Linked DNA regions of Callithrix jacchus. The protein of the gene in region 2 binds, or shares a complex with, the protein of the main gene of each other region. Links are inferred from orthologs where the notes say so. Each region holds a gene or a part of one and is shown on either strand. Other genes may lie near its edges.

Region 1 (5,921 bases), on a different chromosome or scaffold from region 2:
CGCTGCCTCCAGGAGAGTCGGACCGGGAGTGCACCGACCCGGAGGCAGGCGGGTGGCCCTACGGCCGTGAAGAGCAGAGATGCCCGAGCTGGTCAGGGGACGGCTGGAAGGCCCGCAGGAGTCAGAGGCGATGAGCCGGGCAGGGGGTGGAAGGCCGGATGCCAAGCATGTTAGTGACTCAGGACGTCCCAGTGGAGTCACAGCGTGAGCCCAGCACCAAGGTTTCGAGTCAGATGACTGCAAAGATGCTGATGGCACTACTGGAGCTGGGGTGTGCGCAGCATAAAGTGGGGAGCATACCATCCCTGTCTGTGCCAGGAGACCCTTGGAATATTAGGGGAGAAGCAGCCCCAGGGTCCAGACTGCAGGAGCGGGTAGTCAGGGCTTGGCCAGATCTGTGGGTCAGAGGTGGATGAAGGCGGAGTTTGCTCAAGAAGAGGGTGCAGTTTGGGAAGCTGAGGTGGGAGGATCCCTTGAGACCAGCCTGGACAACAAAGTGAGACCTAGTCTCTACAAAAAAGCTTTTAAAACTAGCCAGGTGGAGTGGGGCATGCCTCTAGTCTCAGCTCAGTTACTCAGGAGGCTAAAGGGGGAGGATTGCTTGAGCCTGGGAGGTCGAGGCTGTAGTGAGCCGTGATCACACCACTGCACTCCAGCCTGAGTGACAGACCAAGACCATGTCTCAACAAACAAAAATGTGGTGGGCAGAAAGAGTCAAAGCTGAAGACTCCATATGAGAACAGGTTTTTTTGTGTGTGTGTAAGACAAAGTCTTGCTCTGTCACCCAGGCTGGAGTCCAGTGGTGCAACCTCTGGTGTGGGGTTTGGCCTCCCAGTTCAAGCAATTCTCTTGCCTCAGGCTCCCAAGTACCTGGGGCTACAGGTGCCCACTATCACACTAATTTTTATATCTTTGGTAGAGATGGGGTTTCACCATGTTGGCTAGGCTGGTCTCGAACTCCTGACCTCTACTGATCCATGAGAACACGTTTTTTGTACTTTTATTTTTTTAGATGGAGTCTTGCCCTATTGCCCAGGCTGGAGTGCAGTGGCACGATCTCGGCTCACTGCAACCTCCACTTCCCAGGTTCAAGAGATTTTCCTGCCTCTGCCTCCCAAGTAGCTGGGATTATACAGGTGTGTGTTACCACCTCAGCTAATTTTTGTATTTGCAGTAGAGATGGGATTTTGCCATGTTGGCCAGGCTAGTCTCAAATTCCTGACCTGAAGCAATCCATCTGCCTCAGCTTCCCAAAATTCTGGGATTACAGGTGTAAGCCACTATGCCTGGCTTTTGTACTTTTAGAGTCCAGGGTAAGCAGCAGGAAAAGCCCAAGGGGTTCCAAGCCATAGTCCACAGGCTGTGGGACATGGCTACCCACATCTCTAGGGTGGGTACCCAGAGCCAGCTGAGTTTTTCCTCAGCCCTTTGCTCAGGGCTCCCGATGTGCTGGAGTAAGAATAGATTCCTCAGTCTAATGGCCTGGCTCATCTTGCCAGGCCCTGCCTCTTACTCAGCTGCCTTGAGTCCTTACTGGGACATGCTGCTTTTTCCACCCAGGAACTATCTCTCCTCAACCCCCTAATCCACTGTTCTCTTCAGGGTTTCAATCAGGATATACAGAGATAGACAGTTCTCTATATAAGAGGGTCCCTGGTCATTCCCAGTAGCCAGTACCAGGCCAGGCTCTGCAGGGCTTCACATAGCTCCAAAGTGCTGTTGGGTGATCAAAGTACAGTGAGGAGTGTGTGGGCGGAGGAGGGTTTTATTCTGGACATGGGTGGCAGGGTGGTCAATCCCCCAGCAAGATAGAGGCCTCACGCACATGCTGCCGGACAACTCGGTCCAAGAGGATGTGCACATCTTGAGCAGCCTGGGCAGCAGCCTCCAACACCTGCTCCAGGTGGTCCTCATGCAGCCGGGCATCCATCTCAAGCAGCGCAATCTGGCCTGAAGCTGGCAGCAGGGCCAGGGCCAGCTGGGGGCCACCAGCTGCTTCCTCCACATGGCTGAGGTCTGCCAGGGCTGTGCCGTCCACGAAGCCAGCTGAGCACGCACACACAAAGTCTCTCATGGGTATGCCAGCATCCAGCACTGCCAGCGTGGCTGCATTCACACACGCTGCGTAAGTCCCACCATCTGCCTGTAGCACCTGCGAGGACCCCAGGGTGTCAGTTCATCAGACTCCCTCCTCAATCCCATCACACTCTTCCCTCCCTGGATTGCAGGCTGCAGCCGGCTCACCTGCACATAGATATCAATCTGGGAGCGTGGGTGCAGCTGTGTGAGGATGGCTGCTTCGAAAGTCTGGCGGAGTTGTAGGCCCATCTCACAGGACTTACGGTCCCCATGTGGCCGTCGCTTGCGCTCACCGGTGCTGAAGGTCGCTGAACTATATTGACAGTTCACTAGGGCCCTGTCTGGCAGGGCTCGAGCCCGCGAGCCCCGGATCTGGAAGAAGATGGACACATGAGCCAGGCCCACTTCTTCCAGCTCACACTCCACTGTACTCTGGGGGTCTGCCTCTCCTTTCACTTTCAAGGCCTCAGCAAGAGGCAACTACTTTACCTCCAAAACAAAGCCCCCTGTTTTGCTCGTTTTTCCTCCTGGCATGCATCTTTTAGTTGGCTGCTTTGTGTCCATCCTTGTCCCATTCCCTTCCAGCCCAAGTTTACAAACATCAAGGCTGATTCTATCTCACGTACACACTCAAATCCTAATTAACTTACGAAGGCGTTACATTACATGTGAAATAAAATCCCAAATCCTTTCCCTGGTCTACAAAATCCCAAGTCCTCACCTCCCCGGAAACACTCTACTTTAATTTGGAGTTACCCCCTTTCCCCACCAGCAGTCTTTCTGCTCTGCCTAAGTGCTATGCTTGTTTTCACCCCCGTGGTCTTCGCCCTCGTGCTTCCCTGCGCCTAGAAAGCAGAGCTCCCACAGCCATGCGCTAAGCACATTTTCAATACCTTTGCTGGCCAGGCACTGTTACAGCGCTGGGAACCGCAGTGAAACCATAGAGTTTCATGTAAAGTTCCTGTCTTTAGGAAGCTTATGTTCCAGCAAGGAAACAAAGGTGAACGTGCTTAAGCAAAACAGGCGTTTGAGATCGTAGGTGCACAAAAGACAAGGAAGGGTTTATTGTAGGGAGGGGAAGTACCGCGTGGATAAGGTTGTCTGGGGAGGAGTGACGTCGGAGTAGAGCTGAGAGGTGACGGGGCGAGTGGGGGAGCTGAAGAGCCGCAAAGAGAAGGGAGGGCGCAGGGACAAGCCGATGAGAAAGGCAGGACCACCGCTCAGTGCACTAAGGACTTGCGTTTACTCCGAGTGACATGCGGTGCTGAGCATCGGCTGTGTGGTCGGAGGCGCGCCGGCCGTTGCCCCTCAAGTCCCTGAGCCTGTGCTCAGCCCGGCTGCCCTGCGGCTCCGCGACCGCACGATTTCCCCTCCCACTCGCCTCGTGCGGGCCGTAGACCACCGCCAGCGCCTTGGTGTTGCCCTGCTCGATGTAGGCCGAGCCGTCAGCCTGCGCGAACACGCCCATCCGCGCCTGGATTTTGCGCAGCTCCCCGGCGCGCCGCCCGTCCACCCGGTAGCCCTGGTCCGATAAGAGCTCCAGCCCCGCCATTCCGCCCGGCCGCCAACTCCCTCTCGGCTTAGTTCTCTGAGCCGCTGGAGAACTGGAGAACTAGAGCTCCAGGCGGCTACGACTTCCCCGGATCTACGGTTTCCGGTGGTCCTCTGTCACTTCCGGGTCCGCGGAACTGCAACTCCCCGCGGCCCCGACTTCCCCGGATCTATGGTTTTCGGCGGTCCGTTGCCACTTCTGGTCCCGGGAAACTACAGCTAACCGCCGCCCCGAGGTCCCCGGATCTAAGATTTCCGGCGGTCCGTTGCCACTTCCGGTCCCGGGAAACTACAGCTACCCGCGGCCCCGACCTCCCAGGATCTACGGTTTTCGGCGGTCCGGCTCTGCTTCTGTCTCCGGGGAGCTGCAGCGGCTCTGTCGGGGAAGCGGGGGCTAGGCCCGCGGCCGTTCCCGGAGCTGTGCCACGGGTGCCAAGAAGTGGGCGCCCGCTGAAGGAGGAATTCCGAAGCCACGCCCTCGGGACCAATGGTGCCTGCATTATTCAGCCTTCCCCGCACTGTAAGTGTGAAAGTGGAAGGATGAACTTAGTGGTTGCAGCATTGACTGACAGGAGAAGAGAAGGCATTGAGGGGTCCTAGGAAGGTGACCGGGCTGGTGTCCCAGCATGGTCCACACCTGGCACCTCCATTCCTCCCTTGCCCTCCGTTACACCGAGCTCCCACACTGCAGTCAAGTGGGCCTCCCGTTTCCCTTTGAGGATGCTGATTCCTCATCCTTTCCAAAGAGGCGTTGTATGTCTGTTTATCTCTTGCCACCTAACCTCAGTGGCTTCGAATAACATGATTATTTTATGATGTTCTGCAGTCTGGTGTTACCTAGGCTCAGCTAGGTAGTTTGCATTTAGGATCTCTCCTGCAGTTCCTGCTAGATGGTGGCTGGGGCTGGAGCCATCCTCAAAGTTTTCTCCCTCATATCTTCGGTGACTGATGCTGGTGGCGGGCCAGGACCTCACGTGTGGCTGTTAGGCAGCACACCTACATGTGGCTTCTACATGCAACCGAGGCTTCCTTGCAGTATGGCAGTTGGGTTCCAAGGGTAGCCTTCCAAGACAACAAGGTGGGCGACGTGTGTGGTATTTTTATGACCTAGCTCAGAAGTCATATAGTGCCACTCTTGCCAGACTCTGGGGTCAAGTCAGTCAGACAAGTCTGCCCAGGCTTAAGGGATGGGGATCTATGACCGCCAAGGCAGGAGCGAAATACCTCAGCCTATTTCCATATAAATAATGAAGAAGAAAGTAACTAGAAATATAACCATAGTAGTTATTAGTTATTCATAGGTGATCTTAGTTATTTATAGGTGATCTTAATTCTTTTACTAATGCCTATCAGGTCGGAAGTGTGAACCTGGGGTGACATTGTGAAATGAATGACACTAAGGCAAGATGCTCTAAGCCCTCTGTCACGCCTAGGAAGGGCTGCTGGAGGGCACCTCGGCCGTGCGGCAGCTCCAGTGCTGTGAAAGCGCCCACTGTTTAGCCAGCTAGGGAAGGAGATGTCCAAGATGGCTGAGATGTCTCCTTCCTGGGGAAGTTAGGAGAAAACTCCACTTCTCCAAGCTCTTGTGGTAACGCCTGACAGTTGCCAGGAGGCCCACAGACATCAGGGGCTTAACTCTCTCTGTGTGATGCTGTGCTTCAGCGGTCACATACCAGGTCCACTCTCATGTTCTGCTTCTGCACCTGGCTTCTTTTTTTCTTAGGAAAGATAATCAGTAACAGTCATATAAATCTTAATGTTTTAGTTCTTTCTTGGTAAGTATGGAAAAGACGCTGATGAATTATGCTTCTTGCCTCACTTTGGGGGCCAGAAATTCCTGAGCCTCTACCTGAATGACACATGATGTACTTGACCCTATCACTGCCACGTACTATCCACCCTGCCCCCAGTCTCTGACCACCAAGGCCGCCACATCCTACCTACCTTGCCCCCAGATTTGCAACTCAATAAAAGTGAGAGTGTCCCGTCTGGCATTCGGGGCCACTGCTGGTCTCCACGACCTGGGTAGCAGTGGACCCCTGGGCCCAAACTCTCTTTTCTCTATCTCTGTGTCTTGTGTCTTTTATTTCTACAATTTCTTGTCTCCACACCAGCCAAGAGGGACTCACAGAACCCTGTAGGACTGGACCCTGCAGGGACCTGGACCCCACCCTTCAGTGGTATGAGTGTCAGCATGACACTAAGAAGAGCAGGTGAGCTAGGGCAATGCAGTCTGCTACAGGTGCCCAATTTCAGTAGTCACAGCATCCCCTCGAGGTGGTTCTGCTCTC
Region 2 (5,189 bases):
AGCAAAGGCTGCTTGGTTTTGTTTTTGTTTTTTTTTTTTTTTTTTTTTTTTTTTTTTTTTTTGAGACAGAGTCTCGCTCTGTTGCCCAGGTTGTACAGTTGCACGATCTCGGCTCTGCAACCTCCGCCTCCAGGGTTCAAGCAATTCTCCTGCCTCAGCCTCCTGGGTAGCTGGGAATACAGTTACCCACCACCACACCTGGCTAAATATTGTATTTTTATTAGAGACGGAGTTTCACCATTTTGGCCAGGCTGGTCTCAAAACTCCTGACCTCGTGATCCACCTGCCTCGGCTTCCCGAAGTGTCAGGATCACAGGCGTGAGCCACTGCGGCTGGCCTGCTTGGTTAACTTTATTCTTCCAACTGCATTCTCAGTCATTTAAAGGATATAGGAATGGAAACCAAAACAGACCATCTAGGGGTCAGGGATGCCATGTTTCTACTGGGGCAATTTTATGGGGCACTGTGCCTTGCAAATGACGTGAGTGGAAGACAAAGGATTCCCCATATTATCCAGGATGGGAGTCCATTCGGCTGGAACACTGTGCACTATGGAAGACCTAAAACTAGCCCCTAATGCTGGGACTCAGCCAGCTAACCAAGGGAGCATTGTTCACCTGCCACCCAGGGTTGGCGTCAGGACAGGAGAAAGCAGGCCTGCAAGCTGGAGGCAGCCACAGGGCTGTCAATGCAGACAAAGTGATGACCTCTCAAGTCTTCGCAGAGCCACATATGGGGACCACACATCACCGTCTTCACTCCTGCAAGGTCCACAGTCCTGTCCTTCTGGAGCACCTCCTTATCCCTCCTGCTCTAAAAGCCTCTGGCGTGTCTCCATCACAATCTCCTCCATTATTTCTGGCTTTAAGATGTCTTTGATCTGAAAAAAGGAAAAGGCATTTGTTCAGAAAAGAATCCACCCATCAACAGACCACCAAGCCAATCCAAACATACATTAAGCCGTTGACATAAACCTTCTGTATCCCTTTCATGTCTCAGAGACTAAGCGTTACAAGATATGATCTGCTAGAAGCAGCCTAATAAACCAGCAAGATTTTGAGATACAGCCGACAAGAACAAAAATATTCTGACATTCATCTAAGAGATGGCTGAAATGTGGGATGAGGGCTGCTCTCATAAACTAGTCCCACCTGACACCTCCATCCCCGACCAAATCCTTAGATTGACACTAGACATTGAGAAGATTGCAAGTGTCTCAGCGAAAGATCTAGCAGACACTCATTAAGGCTGTTTCCAGGCCAGTCCATACCGGATATTGGGATATGGATATTGGGAAAGTATGGGGGAGATGTGCAGATTGTCTCTGAGTAAACAACAGAGCAGCTTGCTGATCAGTGAAGAAGCAAAAAGCCCTGGGGAGAATACCTGGTGTGGAAGGGATGCTTCATAGCAGTACAGGATGCTGGTGTCGTACAGCATCATCCTTTGAGTTACCAGCGAGACAATGCAGTTCCGAAGCCGGGAAATCACCTCCCGATCAGCAAGAGAGACAGGCTATAAGGGGATGCAGAAGAGGAGGAAAGGGAAATATAGACAGGACCTAAACAAGTGACCAGCCAAAGAAAATCACAAATAAATCACTGATGACTCCCACATCACTCTGGAACTCCACACCAACCACCGGTTAAGTCCAAGGGAGATTAAAAAGAATGGGACCGTGTGCAGTGACTCACCCCTGTAATCCCAGCACTTCGAGAGGCCGAGGTGGGCAGATCACAAGGTCAGGAGTTTGGGACCAGCCTGACCAACATGGTGAAACCCTATCTCTACTAAAAATACAAAAATTAGCCAAGCATGGTGGTGCATGCCTGTAATCCCAGCTACTCAGAAGGCTGAAGGAGGAGAATCACTTGAACCTGGAGGCAGAGGCTTCAGTGAGCTGAGATTGTGCCATTGCACCCCAGCCTAGGGGACAAAGCGAGAGTCCGTCTCAAAAAAAAAAAAAAAGGCTTCTTCACTTCTTCAGAGGCTCTCTGGCTATTACCTTGCAACTTCACCATCTCTGCCAACAAAGTTGAAACCATTCACTGAGTTCATCCTTTTAGATGAACTCACCTTGATGGAAATACACCTTGATGGAAAGTCAAAGTGACTCAGCCTACAGCAATAACATAGTCAAAAACAAGCAACTCTGCCGGCCACAAAAACATAGCCAAGACCAAGCCTCCCCTCCCACCGACGGCGGCCAAGGTTTGCTCACCTCTAGGTTTGCCGCGAAGCCCCCTGCTTCCTCTTCTTTGTGCTCAGGTGTTGGGTAAATCCAGATGAAGCCATTGTTGCCCAGAATCACTGAGGCACCACACGGCAAGTCATGAAAGTGGGTCTTCTGCCGTTTCACCAGGGAGGGGGAAACCTGGACCAAAACCCCCTGACCTAGCTAAAGAAACACATTGCAAAGCTAGGTCACCGCAGGATCAGCGGGATGAATGACAAGGAGACTACAGAATACACACCCTAAGTATATTCCACATGGTGTCGTTTCTGCCTGAAATTGTCGCCTACGCACACAGAGAGAGTACACATTCTTGCAGAGAACACTTCAGGACTCACAGGTTATTCACACATCCCAACAGAAGGTGCCTTTCAATCTCTTCTCTGTCATTTCCCTTTGCAGCCTTCCTTGCACTCTAAGCCAGAGCTCATGTGCCAGACATTAGAGAAGTGGAAGCCAATGAGGAAGTGAGCTTGAGCGTCCTACTGGCCCAGGGGCACTGCATTGTTCCATGACTCTAGCTTACACCTGTACCCCAAACACTCATCATGCCTGTGAGATGTGCGCCTCTGGGTAGGAGAGGAGATGGGTGGAGCTGGGTTCAAATCCATGTCTGGTCCTGGCAGGCCAGCTCCAAGTCCACGTCCTGCCAGGGAGAGCCCGTAGGACCCAGGGCTGTGAAAGTCAGCATACTGCAGCAGTCCTCCACCTACTCCATGTACATGAACGTGACCGGCTGCAGCCACTCCATTAAGGGAAGAGGTTTTTGTTCCACTCAGAAAACAAAAACATTCACCCAGATAAAGCTAAGAGACTAGTAAATCCTCATTTGTTTTAGGAAGTATGCTCTCCTTACAGTAATAAATAGCTTCAATAATGCAACCTCATACAAGAAAAGCAGTGAAATTCCATTTAGAGGCTCAGATGACAGAGCAAGCTTTGCCAGCAATAACATCCACTGTACTGACTGGACGTTTGTCTAAGGCCTGTTTCATCAGGCCCAGCCTCCGTTTGTTCCCAGGATGGCCTCAGCCCCAGCCCCAGTGCTGAGCTGCAGCACCCCCTGGAGGAAGAGAGACAGCTGAGCCTCCCAGCCCACAGCTGGAGGGGCTCTTCTGCTAGAAGAATCAGTCTACTTGGAGAAAAAGGATAAAACTTGTCCAAAAAAAAAAAAAACTTGTCCTTTACAAGGCTACTGACCCATCACCCTGTGCACCCTGACCTCCCTGCTGTTATGTTCAAGGAACACGATCAGTTTGTGGGATGCCAGCCTCTATTAATGCTTAGCTACTGGGTCTCTTTAGGCCAGAATTCCAGAGAGCTATGGGGATTCAGAAATAGCCTTGGAGTCTTGGTCAGCAAACAGGAACATCAAAAGCCTGACTTACTTTTCCATATTTCAGGCTCCTCGTGTGCAGAGAGACAGCTCCGTCAGAGAACACTGCCTGGACCTCAGCCTGGCCAGGGTGATAAAGGAACACAGCAGCCCCGGCCACACTGTCCTGTCCCCAGCAGCCTCTGCTCCTTGGCCCCACACCTCCATCTTTTCCTCCCATCTGCAATGGTCCAGCTCAACAATCTTAGACAGACCCAGAGAATATCACTGTGACGTTACCTCTCCCCTTAGTTTTCATGAATACCTTTTTTAAAAAGAAACAGAGACAGGCCGGGCACGGTGGCTCAAGCCTGTAATCCCAGTACTATGGGAGGCCGAGGCGGGTGGATCACGAGGTCAAGAGATGGAGACCATCCTGGTCAACATGGTGAAACCTCGTCTCTACTAAAAATACAAAAAAATTAGCTGGGCTTGGTGGCAGGTGCCTGTAATCCCAGCTACTCAGGAGGCTGAGGCAGGAGAATTGACTGAACCTAGGAGGCGGAGGTTGCGGTGAGCCGAGATTGCGCCATTACACTCCAGCCTGGGTAACAAGAGTGAAACTCCATCTCAAAAAAAAAAACAAGAGACAAAGGCCGGGTGTGGTGGCTCATGCCTATAATCCCAGCACTTTGGGAGGCCAAGGCAGACAGATCACCTGTCAGGAGTTCAAAAGCAGCCTGGCCAACATGGTGAAACCCCATCTCTACTAAAAATACCAAAATTAGCTAAGCATTGTACACACCTGTAATCCCAGCTACTTGAAAGGCTGAGACAGGAGAATTACTTGAACCCAGGAGGCGGAGGTTGCAGTGAGCCATGATGGGCAACAGAGCTAGACTCTGTCTCAAAATAAATAAATAAATAAATAAATAAAAATAAAAGAGACAGTATTGCTGTCACCCAGGCTGGAATGCAGTGGTGTGATTATAGCCCACTGCAGCCCTGAGCTCCTGGGCTCAAGCAACCCTCTGGACCCAGCCTCCTGAATAGCTAGGACTACAGGCACATGCCACCACGTCCGGCTAATTTATTTTTGTGTAGACATGGGGGTCTTGCTATGTTGCCCAGGCTGGTCTTGAACTCCTAGGTTCAGGCAATCCTCCCTCCTTGGCCGTCCAAAGCACTGGGATTACAGGCATAAGCCACCACACCCGGCCTGCCATTAATACCTTGATGTGAACAACACCTTTTCCACTCCCTAGGATAAAAGTTAACATCATTAACAAAAGCCTGGCTTAAAGCACGGGCCATCGTGAGTTACAAGACCCAAAGGAAAGACTTAGCAGCTGGTCTGAACAAGAGCTGAGGAGTCAGCCTGAGTTAAGGAGGCTGAGAAAGGAGGCAGCAGAGCCCGACACTTGGTCTAAGACTCGGATCCCTCCAAGGATGACATGGCTCCTCTGTCAGAGACAGTGGAAGGCCCATTGCCTAGCCTCACAGAAAAGCATCAAGAGGCCGGAGCGCAAAGTGCAGGATACACTGATAAGGTCGCCTTCTTGTAGGAAACCTCTCATTGCAAGCTCATCTTCTGCAGATCTTCTCCTCTGAAATACACAAAGAAATGACATTAATTAAGCC
Region 3 (5,689 bases), on a different chromosome or scaffold from region 2:
TGTTTCCTCCCGGGACCCCGCTGGACTAAGGGCAGTAGCCACTCCCAGTAGTTGTTTGTCTTCAGGCTCCTCAACATCTCTTACTGCTTCCCTGAAACCTACCCATACTACTCTACAGTCCCATCATAAAAGTCTCCTGAACTATCTGAAGTGGACTCATTTTCTGCCCAAAACTAAAATGATCCACCCTACCTTCTCATAAACTAATTTCTCCCAAATGTGACACAACCTCTAATGGCCATGTTTTAGCCTAATTATTCTGTCCATCCTTTCCCACCACCTCCAAAAAGAACCAGAGTTTCTTTCTCTTGGAAACATGAGTTCAGAACTGAACTAGAAGGAATGGTCTCTTTTACAGAAGAGCTGGTAAGGAACCACATTTTTTCTACCACTGGCCCAAGAAGCAGAAAACCAATCTGCGGCGAGACCAAAACAAAGCAAAGTGGGGGGAAAAAAAGCAGAGATGAGCAAGAGAGAGCCTTGCTCATCCAAGTGCCTGTGGATTCCTGGAGAAACACTCGCAGTCTTGTAATCCACACTATTTTGCTTGAGCCAGTGTGTTGGTTACCATTACTAGCAACTGAATCATGCTTTGGCCACCTCTGCAAGCTGATCTTCCACCATTTCCCCCAACCCACCCCTTAGGCTCCACACATCCCCCACCTGAGGACTTACAGACTCACCATCCCTTCCTTCTGGAACACTCATCCCTACTTAATTATCGGTCATGCTGAGAGCTCAGTTAAAATGCTATTTCCTTCGGGAAGCCTCCTCTGACCTCCCAGTCTAGATCGTATCCCTGTGTTTTCCTTCATAGCACTCAGTACAATTTTATACATAAACACTCAAGTACATTAATAATTTCTGCATGTTCCTTCCTAGTCCCTCAGCCCAGCTCCATTCTGTGTTGAATAAATGCATACTGAGTCCTGAAGATACAGAGGGAAAATCCTTGATACGGATTTAGGGGAGCAATTCCACCTCCTTAGGGAAGCCTTCAGAGCATTATAAGTCCCTGGAATTCTTTTTTATTTATTTTTTAAAAATAAATTTTATTTCTTTAGAGATGGGGTCTTACTGTGTTGCCCAGACTGGTCTCAAACTCCTAGGCTCAAGCAATCCTCCCTCCCATCTCAGCCTCCCAAAGTGCTGGGATTACAGGCATGAGCCACCATGCCCAGCCCCTGGTATACTTTAACTTCTTCAACCTCCACTAACTATACCACTTCCTTGGCAGAGATCTTATTTTACCTTAGTCTTTATTTTATTCACTTTTACTCTCTTTGTCTCCCTCCTATCTTTCATTGATTTCACAACCATGTTTTAGCATCCCTACTGTTTCCCACATAACATGCCAGAGACTAGATAGATGATGTAAATAAAATTAACTAACTTTGCCCAAATTAGATCCTAAGCATCTCAAGGGCCAGAAATGAGGCTTACACCCTTTTCTTCCTTGACAGCACCCAGCAGATAACAGGTGTGTTATAAATATAAATGATTTTCTGACTCAATATAAAGGAATAAGGCAGGATTTATGACTATGGTGGAACTCTGCTTCTGGATAATGAACTGCCATGGGAATTAAGGGTGCTGGGAAGGCATCTCTAACCTTGAGGTTACAGATATATCCATGCCTCAGTGCCACTTTCAGAGATGAAATGTGAGAGAAAACAGGACACATGACAGAGTCAGTATATCATGGTAAGCTGCAGTAACAAAGAAAGAAAACCAAAGGTTTTTAAATTTAGAGAAAAATGGTTACCCTTAATGTGTCCCTAAAAAGCATACTTTGAGGATAAAAATCAACTGAACAAAGTGTATATAAAAATATAGCAGAGAGGGCCAGATGCGGTGACTCACGCCTGTAATCCCAGCACTTTGGGAGGCCAAGGCGGGTGGATCACGAGGTCAAGAGATCGAGACCATCCTGGTCAACTTGGTGAAACCCCGTTTCTCCTAAAAATACAAAAAATTAGCTGGGCATGGTGGTGCGTGCCTGTAATCCCAGCTACTCAGGAGGCTGAGGCAGGAGAATTGCCTGAACCCAGGAGGCGGAGCTTGCGGTGAGCCGAGATCCCGCCATTGCACTCCAGCCTGGGTAACAAAAGCGAAACTCCATCTCAAAAAAAAAAAAAAAAAAAAAAATATATATATATATATATATATATATATATATATATCAGGGAAAGACACATCTAATGGCTTTTGGGCATTTTTATGCCCCCTCACACACAAATAACATACAAGTTCCCCAGAATACACACATATATCCCACTACTCCTAATCCTGAATTATAACTAAAATATGCAACTATGAGTTCTGACTTTATTAACCAGGCTTAATATACAACCTGTTGGCCAAATATTGGCATTTCTTCATCTATAGAGGGCCCAGAAGATAACAGCAGGTGACAATTTTTAAATGGACATGGCCTTAACTCACGTTGTGGAACTTTAATGACAGCTGGCCGCTTCAATTTAATGGCTACATCCCAGGACCACTAACTTTACTGAGAGAGGAAAACCATGAGGAGGGGCTGTGACCAGAACTCTGCCAAGGGTGGGCTGAAGAACTCTGATAGGAGGACGACACCGTGGGTTAACAAGTGGAGACAGAGTCAGAGGAAGATACGGGGTAGCTCGTTACCACGTTCAACATTTTTCAATCCTCGTTCTGGAGTGGTCAAAACCAGGGGTTTAATATAGAGCACAGAGGACGTTAGGTTTTAGCTGCCTAGGGAATTAGTTCTCCACTGGCAAAATGGAAACAGCACTTATGATACCAGCTGCCTAGCCGCTGTCTAAAAACCCTTCCCCTTTATTGGCAAGGCAATTTGTATTTTCTTTTCTTTCTTTCTTTTCTGAGACAAGAGTCTCGCTGTGTTGCCCAGGCTGGAGTGCAGTGGCACGAGCTTGGCTCATTGCAATCTCTGCTTCAGCCTCCCGAGTAGCGGGGACTACAGGGGTCTGCCACCACGCCTGGCTAAGTTTTGTATTTTTTAGTAGAGACGGGGGTTTCACTATGCGGCCAGGCTGGTCTTGAACTGCTGACGTGGTGATCCGCCCGCCTCGGCCTCCCAAAGTGCCGGTATTACAGACCTGAGCCAATGCTTCTGGCCTGCTTTTCCTCACCTCGTAGTTGGGAGGCGCATGCGAGCTGAACCCACTTTGAAATTACAAACTGCCATACAAAAACCCTTCTCCCTTTATTTGTACGGCAATTTGCATTTTGCCGTGCGTTCACCTCGCATGCGCTTCCCAACCACGAGGTGAGGAAAGGCAGGCCAGAAGCCTACCTCCAAACTCCCATTTCCTAGAAAAGAAAACTGAGGCTCGGACCAGTTAAGTGCGCGAAAGCCGAAAGGATGGCCATGGGCGATGCTCTCTCTCTAAGAAAATACCTCCGGGACTAACGCTTCCTGCCCGGGTTCGGAATGTTACAGACCCGCAAAACTGCAAATGCGCTAACAGTCTTAAAAACGTCCGCGTTGTCAGCTCTGCAAAGCAAACGCCGCCCGCACAGCCGTTTAATCACAGGTAAACGGAGAGTCGCTGCAGCTCGGCTGCCTCTTGCTTGGCGAACCCAGGGTAGGCCGCGACCCGCAGGGCTAGGCTGAACCCGGCGGCCGACCCAACGCCGCTGCTGTAGCTACCTGTACGCCGTGCATGATGTACACCTTCTCCGCCTCACTCAGCGCCACTGACGCCATGCTGCCGAGCTGCCCCGCGAGCCAAACGTCATCTGCACGCGTCGTCTTCGCTGGACCACTCCCCCACGCCCCACCCGCCGCGTCCGCGCGTCATCAACCTGCGCGGCGGCCGCCGCCACTGCCGGGAGCTCGATGGGCTTCTCCTGCGCGCCGCCCGGTGTCTGGCCGAGTCCAGGGAACCGCGGCGCCTCGTTTCAAGGAGTCATCGCCGCAGCCGGAGGCCCGGTCCCGGGTTGGGGACTGCAGGGGAAGGCAGCGGCGGGAGCGCCCCCGGGGGCCTGGGACTGGGGAACTGCCTCCGGCTTCACGGTCAGTTGGGAGGGGAAACTGGGGTTGGGGTGAAGAAGCTGGGGTGAGGAGAGCCACACGGGCCGGGGGACTTGCAGTGGGAGAGGTGTGCGGCGCAGTTGCTCAGAGCTGGAGTTGACCTAGGAGCTCGTGTGTGTCTCGTGTGTGTGTGTGTGTGTGTGTGTGAGAGAGAGAGAGAGAGAGAGAGAGAGACAGACAGACCCCGACTAAGGAAGGGCGGACGTCGTGATTGGCCTGGGGGTGGCGTTGCCCCGCTCTTCTCCCCTCCACTTCTTTAGTCCCTAGGGAGGCTGAAGAGGAGAGGCGATGCAGCCCTCTGTAGGTAGTTCTCGGTAGGAAGGGTCCGGGCTGGGAGTGGGGAACACTAGACCTAAGGCGTCCCCACCCCTCCACCCAGGAATATCTCTCGCTGACTCGCTCACTCTGACCGAACGCTGACCCAGTACCTTGCTGGGACCTCTTGCTTCGGATGCTTATCAGCATAGTCCCAAAGACTAGGGGGAGGAGGCGCTTGGTAACCGGCGCTAGCTGGGTGCGCAGTGCCCGGACGTCCCTGACGCTTCCTAGCGGGAACTGAAAACCCCGGCTTGATGGAAGTGGTAGCTGGGAGCTGGGAGCAGTTGCCCGTAAAAAAGCCAACCCCATGCAATGGCCGAGTGGGAGTATAGGCATTGGATGCCCGGAGAGGGTATCTGCAAGGTCAAGGTTCCTTTTGGGGTCACCAGAGGAACTCATTTAGGCGCGGCGGAAAAAGTATGGTGCAAGTTTTAAAGGAGCCGTGTTGGTAAATGGGAGAAAGTTAACCCGAATTAGTTGAAACGAGGGCAAGTTGAAGCAAGTCTCATGACTTTCCTGATGTTCCATTTATGAGGACCCTCCCTGTTCTCAAAAGTGAAAGTAACCCTAATTAGCTTGATCAGCCAAAAAAAAAAAGGTTGGTATTTCTCAGATAATGGCTTCAAATACAGTAACTATTGGGAGCCTACTATAGATAGGCTTTGTGCTACCTTTGGAACACAAGGCAAGTAAAACACACTATGCCCAGAGAAGTTCCCTGGCAGTGGTTCAGGCTCCGGGGCCAAAATAACCATAGATCAGGGTGGTTAGAGCTATGATGGTGGCATCAGTGGGCACAGTGGGATTGGGAGGTCGTCTGAAGTTACAGAGAGGAAGTGCTTGCTTACATTCTTAATGATTAAATTGCTGAACTCCAAAATTGATGATCAGTTCTTAGTAGACTGGACATTAGATGTTTCTTATGTCTCTACATAGTTCTCTACAGGGGCACCTAAAAGGAAGACATCTTGCAGGATTGGACTTTGCCTTCCTGGGAAACTGGGAGAGGTGAAGCTGGAAGGGCTTCCACCCTAATGAGGGCACAGGTGCCCCACCTGTTGTGGCACACAGATGTGTTTGTGTGTGGTTGGACAGCTGGGTTCTGTGTGAGGAGCTCTGTGTGATAAGATAACATGAGATTGCTGATGTTAGAAATGGTATTTTCTAGATGTGCTAGAGATTTGCTCAGAAAGGAGAGACCCTGGAAGCTGGGTTTTAGAAACTAGGATTATGTGAGAGGACTAAGGATTCAAAAGGTGACAGCAAATGGACAGATCAGCAAAGAGGAAGAAAAGCTCGAGTTCAGAAACCACGGGGTCATCTTTATGTCAA
Region 4 (5,972 bases), on a different chromosome or scaffold from region 2:
TGACAGAGTGAGACTCCATCAAAAAAAAAAAAAAAGAACAGAATGTATTACATTATCTGAACCTCTTCTTAAACTTCCAAACCTATTTTTCATGAAACAAATTTTCCTTTGGCATTCAAAACTTTCTTATAAACACAAGGCTGTAAAGTAGATATGTTTTACGATGTTATGCATATTAAGTAGAGGTGGGTCATACATCTTTGGATTAACTCGAAAATAAAATGGCAAAAACAGGAGTGTTAAAATTACAATATAAAAGTGAAAGTAGAAAAAGAACAGTGGAAATTCAACAAAAGTGGAAGGAAAGCAAAGTAATCAAGCAGCAGTCTCAGAAAAGCAATCTGTCATGCTGAGTTTGGGCAGTTTCATGGGAACCTTCGCCAAACCAACAAGGAAAGAGGAAACTAACATCTGAATAGCTACAATGTCCAAAATGTTTAATTAGATGCTTTCATTCAGACCACTTAACACAGCATAATTATTATCTCCAACCTGAAGATACAGAACCCCAAAATCAGAAAGATTATTTAGCTTACTCCAAGTCCATTTGAGCTGAAGTTTATCTGAAGTCAAAGTCCATTCTCTTTCCACTACCAAGCTGCCTTGCAGGAAATAACAGACTATTTCAATAAAGTTCTATTTCATCACTGAAGGGAAAATTTATCAAACTGCCACTGAAAGAACCCAAGGATTTAAATGAAGAATTTATCAATCAGGAGTTTTGGTGTGGAACTGCACTAAAAAAATTGTTAAAGAATTTAAGTGGTTTGTACACTGTAATCTTGACGATTCTGAAAATTAATCATTTCTGTCTACTTTCCTCCTTCTTCACAATTTCTATCTCCAGACCATGTGGAGCCCGCATCCCATCTCATTTTTGCATGTGTTACTCTTTCTGCTTGAAACACTTTTCCTCTCCTCCAGATGGCATCAAAGTTGCTCCTGCTTAACATCAAAGATTTATTTTACTTAAATGTCACCTCTACAAAGTCACCTGTTCCTGCAACTACCCCTATTAAGATAGCATTCCTATTCTCAGATAGACTTACCACTGTATGAAATTGTTCTATTTGGTTTAGGGTTTTTTTGTCTCTTCCAAAAAGAATATAAATTCCTTGACAGAAGGGATCTTGTCTACCTCATTTCTCCAGCACTCAAATTATTCCTGGACACAGTAGGCCCTCTTCAAGTATTTATTGAGTACATGGTAGTACAAAGTGAGACTAAGATGTATCACTGCTAAAAAAAAAAAAAAAAAAAAAAAAAATGTGAGAAGCTACAAAGAAGCCTAAGAGCCTGCATAGGAGTTACAGTGCCTACCACCCTCTAAAGCAAAAGGAAACAAAATAATAATATGCAAACACTTAAATAGTGCTTACTCCATGCCAGGCACTGTTCTAAGCGTTATATGTATATATAAAAACTCATTTTTATCCCTCATAATACACAGGTTTCTCATTCGCATTCCCCCACTTTTTTTTTTTTTTTTTGCAGGTGAGTAATGTGAAGCACATAGGTCAACTTGCCCAGGGTTATAGTAGTTAACAATAGACTTACAATTTGAACCCTGGCAAGGAACACTTATTAAAACTATTATTTGATACTGCCTCTCCAAAAAAGCTGAGTGGTTGGCAGCATGGCCCCGCTGTTTCTCTGTGACCGTAAAAATAAGTCTATCAACTTCAAATAGCTGGGGAGCGGATAATAAACGTATACTTAGTTTCGTCCACAGTAGCAGTAACGCCATTAGTTATTACGTGCAAACGTTCTCTATTCTCGTCAGCTTTTCAGATCCCACAAGATTTCACCTTTGGCAGCAATAACATCCCGTTTCACCATGTCAACTTTCTCCACCATCCCGTATACCCCCTCATTCCAGTGCTCGTTCATTGAATCTGCTCCGAACCCTGCATCTGCGGCTTTCTAGGGGCCAATGTTAATTCATCTGTAAAATAGCAATAGTATCTGTCTAGTCTCCACCCCGAGAAAGGACTGAGCGAAAGGTGGAGTGTGAGAGCGGTCTACTGATATTAATTTCTATCACTCTGATGGTTATTGTAAGTTTCCTTTTCTCCTCCGCACTTTATGAGCAAAGAAACGAAACTTCACGTTCAAAAACAGCCACCATAAGGGGCATTGGCTTGCCCTATTCACTGTTAAGAGTCTGCGCAGTAGCGAAGGCCAGAGCCCTTGCTTTCTCATTTTCCGCCGCCGCGCTTCGATGACGTAAATTTTCTGCGCCGCGGGACCGGCAGCGGCGCTTCAGGAGTCACGTTCCGTTTCCCCCGCGGATTTTAGTGCCAGTGGGACCCGGGACCCAACACCATGAAGGAAACGCCACTTTCAAACTGCGAGCGCCGCTTCCTACTCCGTGCCATCGAAGAGAAGAAGGTATGGTTTGGTCCCTGCAGAATTGGCGCGCTGCTTGGGCGCCAAGGTGTGAACTCATAACCCGGTCCGCCTGGGCCGGGGGAGCAACTAGGGGAGCGACCGGCGGGTGCACCCCAACCCTCAGGCTTTATTATTGTTTTTTCGACAGGTTCTTTTCAAGGCTCCCAGCAGTTGTCTGTGCTGTAGTTTCCGCTTTTCTATATGGGCGGGATGGTTAGGATTTCACTTTCCTCCAAGTGCTTAGCCCAGAGCCAGAAAAAGTAATTGCTTAAGAAATACTTGTTGAAGGAATAAATGAATGAATTTGTGCTTACAGCGGCTGGATGGCAGACAAACCTATGATTATCGGAACATCAGGATCTCATTTGGAACCGATTACGGATGTTGCATTGTGGAACTTGGAAAAACAAGGTAACAGAATTTAAATAATATATACATTCAAAAGGGAGAAGTTTTTAAAAAGACATATGTTTATAAACCAGCTAAGAAGTCTGGACGGTATCCTTTGTTGAGCTGACAAAAGTAAGTATTTTTTTATGCAAGATTTTTTGGTTTTGTGGTCACTATTGAAATTTGTAATCATAAACCTATTTTCTGTCACGTATCACATAGTTCTTTCTGACTTCTATACATCGTATAGACAACCAGTAGTGACCACACTGAATTTGTTTCTCATACTAGTATAGAGATCTTGAGCATCTTGTCATTAAGTATACATCCTGCTTTCCTCTTTTTCCTGAGTGACATGAAAATTAGGTTTTCTGATATTCATTTTAAAGTTGTGAGACTATTTGGTTAGATAATAGTGGTGAACGATGCCATGTGAAAACCCTTAAGAAATCTCAAGTTTTCATGCCATCTTGTATCAATAAATACTTGCTTTAGAGGTAAAGGTCATTGATTTTTAAAACAATCTGTGGAATAGTAAACATTGTAATAAGATTTTTTTTCTGTTGTGTTTTTAGGTGTATCAATTTATGTTTTATTTCTGTGTATATTATACTTTATATATAATTATATCTCCTATGATATATTTGGCTGAGTGTGATATTACTCAGTAAGGTTGAAACCTGCTGTTTCAGATTTTTTTTTTTTGGAAGGAAGATCTATTTAGTTAATACTTTGTTCCTTTATCTTTTCAGAGTTCTTGGACAGGTTTCCTGTGAACTTGTGGCTCCAAAACTCAATAGGGCAACAGAAGGTATTCTTTTTTTTAACCTTGAACTCTCTCAGATGGCCGCTCCAGCTTTTGAACCTGGCAGGTATTTAAATCTTTTTCTTAAGCTACTTTAGTCATAGGAGGACCTCACAGTAGTGACCTTTTTTTTTTTTTTTTTTTTTGAATACCTGGTGTTGTATTTCATGACATTAGCCCCGTCCTATTTTCCTATTATAGGCAGTCAGATCTCTTGGTGAAGTTGAATCGACTCTTGGAAAGATGTCTAAGAAATTCGAAGTGTATAGACACTGAATCTCTCTGTGTTGTTGCTGGCGAAAAGGTGGGGAATATGCCCAAATTTCTTTTTTTTTTTTAACCCCAAATCACATGGAATGGAGAATATGCCCAAAATTCTTAATCTTAGGATAAATATTGTTGATTCACGGATCCCAGTGTCTGTTTTTATTCTCAGAACTTTCGTTAACTCAGTTTTGTACTGGTTCACTTCACTTCAGATGTGATACCCTTAGAACTTTGTGCCATCTCTCTCTCTCTGAAGGGACAAAAAGCTTTATCTTTAAAGGGTAAAAATAGTAACTTAGATTTGTGTGTAAAATATTTTATTTAAAGAACTTGTGGCTTTTTCATATAATCTCTCATGTATTTTCTTATGTTACCTACATGAGTTCATAGAAGCAGGTAGTTTTCTTTTTTCATGCAGAACTCAAGAACAGATGAAATCACTCATTTTGATAGGTTTATCGATTTACACAGGGCCACATCATGTCAGTAGCAGGGATAACTTTGGAAATCTTAGTCCCAGTAAATTGTGCTGCATTCGGATATTAGAATTGTATTATTATTATTATTATTTTGAGACAGAGTCTCCCTCTGTTGCCCAGGCTGGACTGCAGTGGTGCAATCTCAGCTCACTGCAACCTCTGCCTCCCCTGTTCAAGCCTTCCGAGCAGCTGGAACTACAGGCACCTGCCACCACGTTCAGCTAATTTTTGTATTTTTAATGGAGACAGGGTTTCACCATGTTGGTCAGGCTGGTCTTGAACTCCAGACCTCAAGTGATCCACCTGCCTCAGCCTCCCAAAATGCTGAGATTACAGGGATGAGCCACTGTACCTGGCCAGAATTTGATTCTTGATTAAGGTATTTTGACAAGCTTTTTACTCCACAGAAATCATTTAGCTTTCCATATTCCATACCTAAGTATAATACTTCCTATTTGCATTACTTGTACCCTTATTAAAAATATCACAAAACCTAAAAGTTTAACTTTTAAAAATTTTTTATTTATTATTTTCTCTTAGGGATAGGGTGACACTCTTTTCCAGGCAGGAGTGCAGTGGTGTCATCATATCTCAATGTAACCTTAAACTCCTGGGCTCAAGGGATCCTCTTGCCTTAGCCTCCCAAATAGCTAGGACTACAGTGCATGCCATTTCACCTGGCTAATTAAAAAACATTTTTTTCTTTTTGTGGAAATAAGGTCTTGCTGTGTCGCCCAGGCAGGTCTCAAACTCCTAGGCTCAAGCAGTTCTCCCACCTTGGCCTCCTAAAGTGCTGGGATTATAGGTGTAAGCCACTGTGCCTGGCCTAGGGTTTGTGGTTTTTAAATTAACACACATGATAAAAGTATCATTAGATTTGAGGTTAGGAAAATCTTAGTATTAAGTGTTAGAGTGGTTCTGTTTATTTAAAGTATGTGTTTTACTGTTGTTAAATGACTCACACAGTATTTCAGATGTTTGACTTAAAATTTCTAAAATGTATTTTTTTGTTGACGAACTAGAAGGAGTAACTGCCTGTTTTAAAGCAAGAAAAAATTTGTACACGACGTTACTTTTCCTGATAAATAGCCACTCATTGTAATCAGGATTTATTTTTTTAAAATTCACTTTCAGGTTTGGCAAATACGTGTAGACCTACATTTATTAAATCATGATGGAAATATTATTGATGCTGCCAGCGTTGCTGCAATCGTGGCCTTATGTCACTTCCGAAGACCTGATGTCTCTGTCCAAGGAGATGAAGTAACACTGGTAAGCTCTTATGTGATCAGGATCCTTGATATGAATGAATGAGGATTGTCCTAAATGTGTAGGCAACTTGCTTTTAGTGAAGTTATGTTGCAAATGGCAACTTGGTTGGTTCTAAAATTTGTTCATAAGACTAAAACTGCACATCGTGAAAATTGCCCTTGAAATCTCTTACATTCCCTCTATTGAAACATCTGTCAGTAAGAACATACCCTAGCCTGGTTTTCCAGAATAGAATTGATGACTCTTGTGGATTGAGCATTATTAGATGAACTGGTTGACTTATATTTAGGGGCCGTATGTGTGAAAAATACATGACTCTCAGCACAGTGAGTTGCTTACCCTCCAAGAGGCATGCAGTAGCTGAAAAG

Evidence for each region. The genes of interacting proteins can lie anywhere in the genome.
Region 1: EXOSC2 (region 2) and EXOSC4 share a complex: the UniProt entries of both Homo sapiens proteins name them as parts of the RNA exosome core complex. The link is inferred for Callithrix jacchus from reciprocal best matches to the Homo sapiens genes EXOSC2 and EXOSC4.
Region 3: EXOSC2 (region 2) and EXOSC7 share a complex: the UniProt entries of both Homo sapiens proteins name them as parts of the RNA exosome core complex. The link is inferred for Callithrix jacchus from reciprocal best matches to the Homo sapiens genes EXOSC2 and EXOSC7.
Region 4: EXOSC2 (region 2) and EXOSC9 share a complex: the UniProt entries of both Homo sapiens proteins name them as parts of the RNA exosome core complex. The link is inferred for Callithrix jacchus from reciprocal best matches to the Homo sapiens genes EXOSC2 and EXOSC9.

Annotation. Positions count from the first base shown.
Region 1 is NC_133517.1:53,541,346-53,547,266, forward strand, and holds EXOSC4 (exosome complex component RRP41), read right to left. Parts: upstream 3,747-5,921; 5' UTR 3,632-3,746; coding exon 3,461-3,631; intron 2,452-3,460; coding exon 2,245-2,451; intron 2,153-2,244; coding exon 1,826-2,152; coding exon of another isoform or gene 1,793-1,825; exon of another isoform or gene 1,750-1,792; intron 396-1,749; coding exon 258-395; 3' UTR 99-257; downstream 1-98. UniProt on the Homo sapiens protein: Non-catalytic component of the RNA exosome complex which has 3'->5' exoribonuclease activity and participates in a multitude of cellular RNA processing and degradation events.
Region 2 is NC_133502.1:179,361,086-179,366,274, reverse strand, and holds part of EXOSC2 (exosome complex component RRP4), read right to left. Parts: intron 5,156-5,189; coding exon 5,090-5,155; intron 3,691-5,089; coding exon 3,622-3,690; intron 2,399-3,621; coding exon 2,222-2,398; intron 1,516-2,221; coding exon 1,387-1,515; intron 881-1,386; coding exon 800-880; 3' UTR 1-799. UniProt on the Homo sapiens protein: Non-catalytic component of the RNA exosome complex which has 3'->5' exoribonuclease activity and participates in a multitude of cellular RNA processing and degradation events.
Region 3 is NC_133516.1:27,719,288-27,724,976, reverse strand, and holds the start of EXOSC7 (exosome complex component RRP42), read right to left. Parts: upstream 3,747-5,689; 5' UTR 3,713-3,746; coding exon 3,656-3,712; intron 1-3,655. UniProt on the Homo sapiens protein: Non-catalytic component of the RNA exosome complex which has 3'->5' exoribonuclease activity and participates in a multitude of cellular RNA processing and degradation events.
Region 4 is NC_133504.1:75,882,775-75,888,746, reverse strand, and holds the start of EXOSC9 (exosome complex component RRP45), read left to right. Parts: upstream 1-2,226; 5' UTR 2,227-2,325; coding exon 2,326-2,391; intron 2,392-2,707; coding exon 2,708-2,802; intron 2,803-3,533; coding exon 3,534-3,653; intron 3,654-3,787; coding exon 3,788-3,890; intron 3,891-5,466; coding exon 5,467-5,604; intron 5,605-5,972. UniProt on the Homo sapiens protein: Non-catalytic component of the RNA exosome complex which has 3'->5' exoribonuclease activity and participates in a multitude of cellular RNA processing and degradation events.